Linked DNA regions of Pelodiscus sinensis. The protein of the gene in region 1 purifies or fractionates together with the protein of each later gene. This does not show direct contact. Links are inferred from orthologs where the notes say so. Each region holds a gene or a part of one and is shown on either strand. Other genes may lie near its edges.

Evidence for each region.
Region 2: the proteins of STRADB (region 1) and CAB39 purify together in Homo sapiens (affinity purification with mass spectrometry; 3 studies listed by BioGRID and IntAct, counting the BioPlex papers as one, with this or other methods). This does not show direct contact. The link is inferred for Pelodiscus sinensis from reciprocal best matches to the Homo sapiens genes STRADB and CAB39.

The regions. Positions count from the first base shown.
Region 1 is NC_134717.1:57,073,227-57,077,132, reverse strand, and holds the start of STRADB (STE20-related kinase adapter protein beta), read right to left. Parts: upstream 2,903-3,906; 5' UTR 2,768-2,902; intron 2,391-2,767; exon of another isoform or gene 12-2,390; intron 1-11. UniProt on the Homo sapiens protein: Pseudokinase which, in complex with CAB39/MO25 (CAB39/MO25alpha or CAB39L/MO25beta), binds to and activates STK11/LKB1.
Region 2 is NC_134720.1:9,966,865-9,970,770, reverse strand, and holds the start of CAB39 (calcium-binding protein 39), read left to right. Parts: upstream 1-1,072; 5' UTR 1,073-1,437; intron 1,438-3,050; 5' UTR 3,051-3,197; intron 3,198-3,906. UniProt on the Homo sapiens protein: Component of a complex that binds and activates STK11/LKB1. In the complex, required to stabilize the interaction between CAB39/MO25 (CAB39/MO25alpha or CAB39L/MO25beta) and STK11/LKB1.

The DNA.
Region 1 (3,906 bases):
TGTGAACTCACCAGAAGTGCCATCCCTGCCATCAGGGCCTGGCAGCAATATGTCCTGGGGGCAAGGCACTGTCTTCAAAGTTATAAAAGGGTTGTCAGTGATGTTGGAAGTGCCACTCGCCTGCTGACCATTCTGCTCCTTTTCCTCATCCACAATGTCCTCCCTGCTGTTGCCTAAGGCTGCACGAAGAGTCTCTCGGGAGAAATCCACACACTGGGTGGGGACACTGGTTGGGTCCCCCCCTAAAATCCCATGCAGACGCTCATAGAAGCGGCATGTTTGCAGCGATGATCCAGAATGTTCGTTTGCCTTCTTTGTCTTCTGGTACACTTTCCTGGGCTTCTTTATTTTCACACAGCATGCTGGCGTATTCTTTTTCCATCATGCCCTTTGTGATCATGGCAAAGATATAAGTGTTTCTTTTACTACTTTATAGTTCTCCCTGAACAGATTCTTCACAGCAATGAGGTTCAGGATCTCTTCAATGCTTCATATTGGAGCTTATTTGCAACCCTGGGCATTCATGGCCAGGTGTGCTGATGAGGGGTGCTGCCAGCTCTGAGTGTCTGCTCGCCACACTGGCCAAACAGAAAATGAAATTCAAACTTTCCTGGGCTTTTTTCCCGTGCACCTGGAGAGCAGCAGAGTTGAAAGTACTGTCCAGAGAGATCACAGTGGGGCACTGTGGGACATCTCCCAGAGGCCAGGAACATAGTTTCACTGCTCTAAAATCAACCGTGCAAGGTCTAATTGCCCTATCTTCTCTGATCCCTTTCTCTTCTTGCTTACCCTTATAACCAGTAAAAAATGAGAAAACATAGCTACTTTTAAAAGTGATGGGGCCCTGGCCCGTTTTCTCCCAGGATCCAGTGCTCTCTTTTCAAATCTCTGGGTTTCTTTTGTTTTGTTATCATGACTTTGATGTTCTTAAGCTTCCTCTGAGTCTATGGATGGTGCATGAGTGGAAAGCAAATGGATTAGCTGACTTCTTTCAGGCTTCACACACAAAGGGATTGAAGTGAGGAGAAAGTGACATCCCTATCCAAATGGATGCCTCTGGGAAACCCAATACCAGTAACGACTTCGAGGCTACGTCTACACTGGCATGATTTTGTGCAAGAACTCTTTTGAGGACGAGTTCTTGTGCAAAAACTCTTCCAGAAGAAAGCGTTTACACTGGCATGTGCCTTTGCGCAAGAGATGTGCTTTTGCAAGAGCAGCCATGCCAGTGTAGACGTTCTTTTGCGCAAGAAAGCTCTGATGGCCCTTTTAACCATCAGGCTTTCTTGCGCAAGAAATTCATGTTGCCTGTCTACACTGGCCTCTTGCGCAAGAACAGTTGCGCAAGAGGGCTTATTCCTGAGTGGGAGCATCATAGTTCCTGCGCAAGAAGCACTGATTTCACACATTAGAACATCAGTGTTCTTGCGCAAGAACTCGCAGCCAGTGTAGACAGGCAGCAAGTTTTTGTGCAAAAGCGGGAGCTTTTGCGCAAGATCGCACCAGTGTAGACACAGTGTGAATGTGTAAAGTCCATTGTAAATCATTGCCACTAACAGGCTGCTCATTGATTATTCTGAATGTCTTAAACAGTTGTTTAGTTTTATAAATAAAGACCAAAACTGCAAGGAGGTAAGGGGTTGTGGACGGAGAAGCTGTGGGGCACGGAGGACCTGCAGAGCAGGGAGGTCCAACTGCAGTCCCGGGGGTAGGTGAGATGCACAGGCTGCACCAAGGAGAGAGCATATATGGAACTTTCATTTTCTCTTAGACTCAGCTAAATAAGCAGTGACTGCTGCAACTGAAATCTGGAGGAAGGATTGTTTTAACCATAAAGCCCTGCAGGGGAATTCTGGGTTTTAGGGCTAGTTCCCTTGCAGATTTCCTTTGGGACTTGAGGCAAGTCACTTGGGCTATGTCTAGATGGCAAGCTTCTTTCGAAAGAGCCTCTTTCGAAAGAGCACGTCTAGACTGCATGCGGAATTTCAAAAAAGCAAGCCGCTTTTTCAAAAGAAAGCACCCAGTGAGTCTGGATGCTTTCTTTCTAAAAAGCCTGTTTGCTGTCAAGAACACCTTCTTTCGAAAGAGCACTTTCAAAAGAAGGCGTTCTTCCTCGTGGAATTAGGTTTACCACCGTCGAAAGAAAAGCCGCGTTCTTTCGATTTAATTTCGAAAGAACGCGGCTGCAGTCTAGACGCAGGTGAAGTTTTTTTCGAAAAAAGGCTACTTTTTTCGAAAAAACCCCTGAGTCTGGACACAGCCTTGGGCCCTGACTCTCAGAGCTGAGTTCCCACCCCCACCGCTCCTGCTACTTTAGCTCACGTGGTGGCTACCTGCCACCTCTGGAAGGCAGGGCCCGTGCTCTGAGTGACTGTATGGGGGGGGGGGGGGGCGCTCTGCAAATGCGGCCGTGCAGACACCCCCCCCCCTCAGCCTCCGGGGCCACAGAGGGCAGGCGGCGTGGGGGAGGGGCAGGGCTACACTCGGGGCTGCGGGGGGGGGGGGGGGGCGGTCCCGGCTGGGGGATGGGCCTGGCCACGGGAGCCCGCAAAGCTCCACGCGCGGCTACGTCGGGCACCGCGAAACGGGGGGGGAGGGGGGGGGGGGAAGGGTGGTCCCCGGAGAGCGACGTGAGGGGAACGGCCCCGCCCCTGGCTCCTCGCCCACGTTTTAACGGCCTGGCAGGGCCACGCCCCCTCCCCGTCCCGCCGGCAGCTCCGGGGACGCCCGAGGCTCCTCCCCCGCCGCTCCCGCCTTCGCCGCTCACCTCAGCGCGGCGCGGCCGGGCGGGAGCAAACACCGGGGGAGGGGCCGGTCCGCCCTTGCCTCGCTGTCTCCGTCACCTCCGCCCGGCCACTGCCTCAAGCTTTGAGCCCCGCCCCTCGTCCGGGCCCGAGGCGGGGGAGCGGGACTACAAGCCCCAGCCTGCCGCGCGGCCTCAAGTGCGGGCTGGGACTCGTCGTCTCCCAGGCGAGCCGTGCCCCGTTGCATGCCGGGATATGTAGTCCCCGGGCCGCCCGCGGAGTCGCGCTCTTATGACGCAGAGGGGCGGTGCTCGCTTCTTCCTCGCCCGCGAGGCGCGACGCCTGATCGCCGGAGCCGCAGCGGCCGGAAGGGCCGGCATGGAGGGAACGCGGCCCCGCAGCGGGTAAGAGCGGCCCCCTCACTTGCACCCGGCGTGGCGGTTTAACCGCCCTTCGCCGTCCCCCCACCCCTCGCAGCGCGCGCATTCCCCTAGCCATAGTCCGTTGCCTCGAGACCCGGCTCAATACCGGCTGGCTCAAGGGGAGTTCTCTTCCTCCCTGCGCGCCGGGACGGGGACTTCTTCCCCACATATCGGGTGGGGGAGCTGTGCTCAGTCGGAAGGGACAGTTTATAAACCTGGCCTAAGAACTACGGGTCACCAAGTGACATGGACAGGCAACAGGCTTAAAACAAACCAAAGGAGGTTTTTCTTCACACAGCGCTCAGTCAACCTGTGGAACTCCTCGCCAGATGATGACTAGGATTATAACACGGTTCAAAAAAGAGCTAGATAGATTCATGGAGGTTAGGTCCATCAATGGCTATTAGCAGCGCTCAACAAATAATGCAGTCCGCTCGCCCGGAGCGAGTAGATTGTAACCTGGAAGAGCTGGGTTCGGGCAATCTGCACATGCGCAGATCACCAGACAGCGCGGCTGGCGAGCGGGGCTCGCCGTGGTTCGGTGAGCCCTGGTTATTAGCCAGGATGGGTAGGGATGGTGTCCTAAGCCTCTGTTTCTCTGGAGGTGGGTAATGGGAGTGTTCCCTCCCTCTGGGGCATTTGGTATTGGCCACTGTCGGCAAACAGGATACTCTGCTAGATGGACCATTGGTCTGACCCAGTATGGCTGTTTTTATGTTCTTTCCATCAATTGTGGGAAC
Region 2 (3,906 bases), on another chromosome or scaffold:
TGTGTCCTGAGGGATGGGCAGCGCTGTGGGGTCGGTTAGTGTGTGCTGTGTCCCTGAGGGATGGGCAGCGCTGTGGGGCCGGTTAGTGTGTGCTGTGTCCCTGAGGGATGGGCAGCGCTGTGGGGTCGGTTAGTGTGTGCTGTGCCCTGAGGGATGGGCAGCGCTGTGGGGTCGGTTAGTGTGTGCTGTGTCCCTGAGGGATGGGCAGCGCTGTGGGGTCGGTTAGTGTGTGCTGTGCCCTGAGGGATGGGCAGCGCTGTGGGGTCGGTTAGTGTGTGCTGTGCCCTGATGGATGGGCAGCGCTGTGGGGCCGGTTAGTGTGTGCTGTGCCCTGAGGGATGGGCAGTGCTGTGGGGCCGGTTAGTGTGTGCTGTGTCCTGAGGGATGGGCAGTGCCGTGGGGTCGGTTAGTGTGTGCTGTGCCCTGAGGGATGGGCAGCGCTGTGGGGCCGGTTAGTGTGTGCTGTGTCCCTGAGGGATGGGCAGCGCTGTGGGGTCGGTTAGTGTGTGCTGTGCCCTGAGGGATGGGCAGCGCTGTGGGGTCGGTTAGTGTGTGCTGTGTCCCTGAGGGATGGGCAGCGCTGTGGGGCCGGTTAGTGTGTGCTGTGCCCTGAGGGATGGGCAGCGCTGTGGGGCCGGTTAGTGTGTGCTGTGCCCTGAGGGATGGGCAGCGCTGTGGGGCCGGTTAGTGTGTGCTGTGTCCCTGAGGGATGGGCAGCGCTGCGGGGCCGGTTAGTGTGTGCTGTGTCCTGAGGGATGGGCAGCGCTGCGGGGCCGGTTCGTTGCGCTGAGGGGCAGGATGCCGGAGGCCGGGTCTGTGTGTACCCCGCAGGGTGAGTGCTACGTGTGCTGTGGCCGGAGAGGGTCCGAGGACGGTCACTGCGCGCTGGGCCCGTGGGCGGCGGGGGCGGTGCTGTGGGCGGGAGGGTTTAGTGCCGAGGGTGGGGGCGGCCATTGTGTTTGCGCTACCAGCATAGCAGTGGTGCGGGGCTAAGCGTGTCCAAGGGCCGTTCCCAACCGAGTTTATTGGCAGACCCGTTCCGGTTGCTAAGCGCCGGTTCCGGTCGCGCAGTCGCGGCGCGGGGTACAGTTGGGAGCGGCCGCGGCTGCCAGGCAGGCGGTGCCTACACCGGGCGCGTTTGTTCCGCCGCGCCGCCAGGGGCAGCAGAGCGGCTGCGGTAGGGAGTCGGGCGCAGGCCGCCGCAGCTGCAGGGCGCTGAAGGGCCGCTGCGCAGCACCGTGGGGCGGGGGAGGGAGCGAGCGACAGACCGTCAGGCGAGCGCCTCGCGTCGTGTACCTCCTCCAGAGCCGCTAGGGTGGGAGCGGGCTCAGCCGGCAAGGTCCCGCTGGAGACGCCAACGACCTGTCTCCCGGCCGCAGACACGACCCCAAGAAGAGGGAGGCACCCGCCACCAGGCCCAGTCCGCGCCGAGCGAAGGTACAGTCACGCTGCCGCCGCGAGTCCCGGCTGGCCTTTGCCGCCGAGCGCGGGCCTGGGCTGGCGGCGGATTGCGGCCGTGGAGCCCTTAGGGCCTGAAGGCGGTAGTGTCTGGAGCCTCCCCCCACTTTACGTCCCGCGGGCCTGTGATGGGGGATGCTAGTGTGAAACCTCCCCCCCCCCCCCGACCCCTCGGGAAGAGAAGAAGGCTCCTGTTGAACTTTGCTCCTGCCTCCCCAGGCCCCGTGGCGGGGAGAGGGAGAGGCTGGGGTGAAGGTCTCTGTGGTCTTTCTCTTCCTCAGTACTTGAGTGAGGAACTTCCCCTGTGGGTAGAGCTGGGTTATCTGGAAACTGTCTCTACTTTCGCCTCCCCCACATCAGGGTAGGCCCTTTCTCTGTAGGGCAGGCCTAGACTCTTGGTCTCTGCTCGAGACAATTCTGTGTCTTCGGCTTGACAAATATTTAGGGGGAGGGCTTCCATGCTTCACTAGCTGCTTCTGCTGCTCTTGGGTTGATGTTGACACGCATTGTTTCCTCTTTAGAGCTGGGGTTTGAACAGACTTCCTGTTACAAAACCGGCAGAGACAAAAATCTGCTTGTCAGTGTCTTGAGAGGGGAAAAAGATCTGCCTTAATGAGAGGAGGATGTACTTCACCTTTTCAGCTGTGGAGAATGAATTGTAGTCTGACTAAAGAGAAATTAATGGCCTTGCTAGTGAGTTGATCTCCCAGGGCAGTAATGATGAGGAAAAAGAATAGAGTAAGTGACTTCACCTTTGCAAAATTGCAGCACACAGTAGCCCAGAGTAGGTCAATATACAAAAGATAAATGAGGCCTTTCAGTAATTGGGCTGTTTTAATCTGTATAATTAACAAGCCCAGTACCTGGTTTTTTTAGTTGCTTTGTACTGAAATAGTAAATAGTGGGGTAGAATTTGGGAATGCCAACAAGGATGGTGACTAGGAAGGGTCAAAGCCCCTCTGCTCCTGACACATTACATAATTTTTTTGCCTAGGGCTGATAGAGTTCACCCTCTGTTTTAGACCCCTCCCCAAAACAGAACCCATGATTAAGGTTGAGAATTACCTTTGGTTAGAATGCTCAGTCCCTTGCAAATTAACAGATTAGAATCTAGGGTCACATCTAGACTTGTGGGAAGATTGACACTGCCGCGGTTGAGCTTCTGTTGTTCTATTTAGTAGGTCTAGTAAAGACCTGCTAAATCGAATGCTGAGGATGTCCCTGTCGGTGCCATTTCTCCCATTGACCTCTTGCTGTGGGAATAGTGCTGAAGTTTGGCTTAAGGTACAGCAACTCATAGTTGAAATTGAGTACCTTAAGATGACCTTCCCCCGTAGTATAGACCTGGCCTAGGACATTTCATTATAAGTTTATTTTAGATTTTAGCAGTTTGTAAATGAGAGGCTTTTAGTGGTGATATAGCTTTGTGCACATCTTGAATTGCTTTGTGTGTGTAGATTGGTTTTAGGTCTATTTTGAAGAGGATGAATGACAGCTAATGTTGTTTATATTTAATTTGTATGCTGCCTTTCATTCTGAAGGTTCCCCAAATGCTTTACAAATGTAACAAATTGATATATAAACTATAACAGGGACCACTTCATCCATCACTGAAATGGAACCACTTCTGGGATGTAAAACGGCTACTGTTTAACAACGCTCAGCAACACTGCACAACAGTTTAGGATGGAACTGAAGAAGAATACTGTTTCCAAATGAAACCACAGGGAGAATTTTAGGTAGGCAAACTAATTATCTAAGTTAGAATTTGGTTAGGAGGACTGCACAACATTTGCCCCTATTTCGGTTACATGCTTTTTTATCTTTATATTACAGGAGACTGACTCTCAAATATTGTATATATATATAAAATTTTCCAATGTGACACAATTGCCAGTACTAGGGCCTGATCATACAAATTTACTTATATGCATAGTCCTCATAGGACTCAATGCAGGAATAACTCTGGATGTGAAAATAACTTGGCAGGATTGGGCTATCACTTAGCAAAGGGCTCCCATAAAATCTAATGTGACCTAACATTTTTGTGAAGGGACTATTTTCTCTTGTTTTGTCAGAGATTACATTTTGATTTTAACTCATTTTTATTTTTATGAAAAATAGTAATCTAGTTGTAATTTATTTAAAACTTGTATTTTACCTGAAGAAAATATGTTAGTTAACACATCCGGTGCATGGGAAAAGATTAAACTTTACCACTTTTCAATTTCTTTAAGACAAGAGACTTATTCTTTTAAAAATAATTATATAAAATGTGGCTCTAAAAAGGTACTTTGCCTTTAAAAACAAAATATTTGAAAATTAATATTTTTTTACTTCTCTGTCAAACACTCCAGTACAAGTTCTGTGCTTCCCTTACAGCAGTTCAAGGTATCATCAGGTACTAGGGATTTTAAAATTTGGTTAAATAGATAATCATGCGACAGT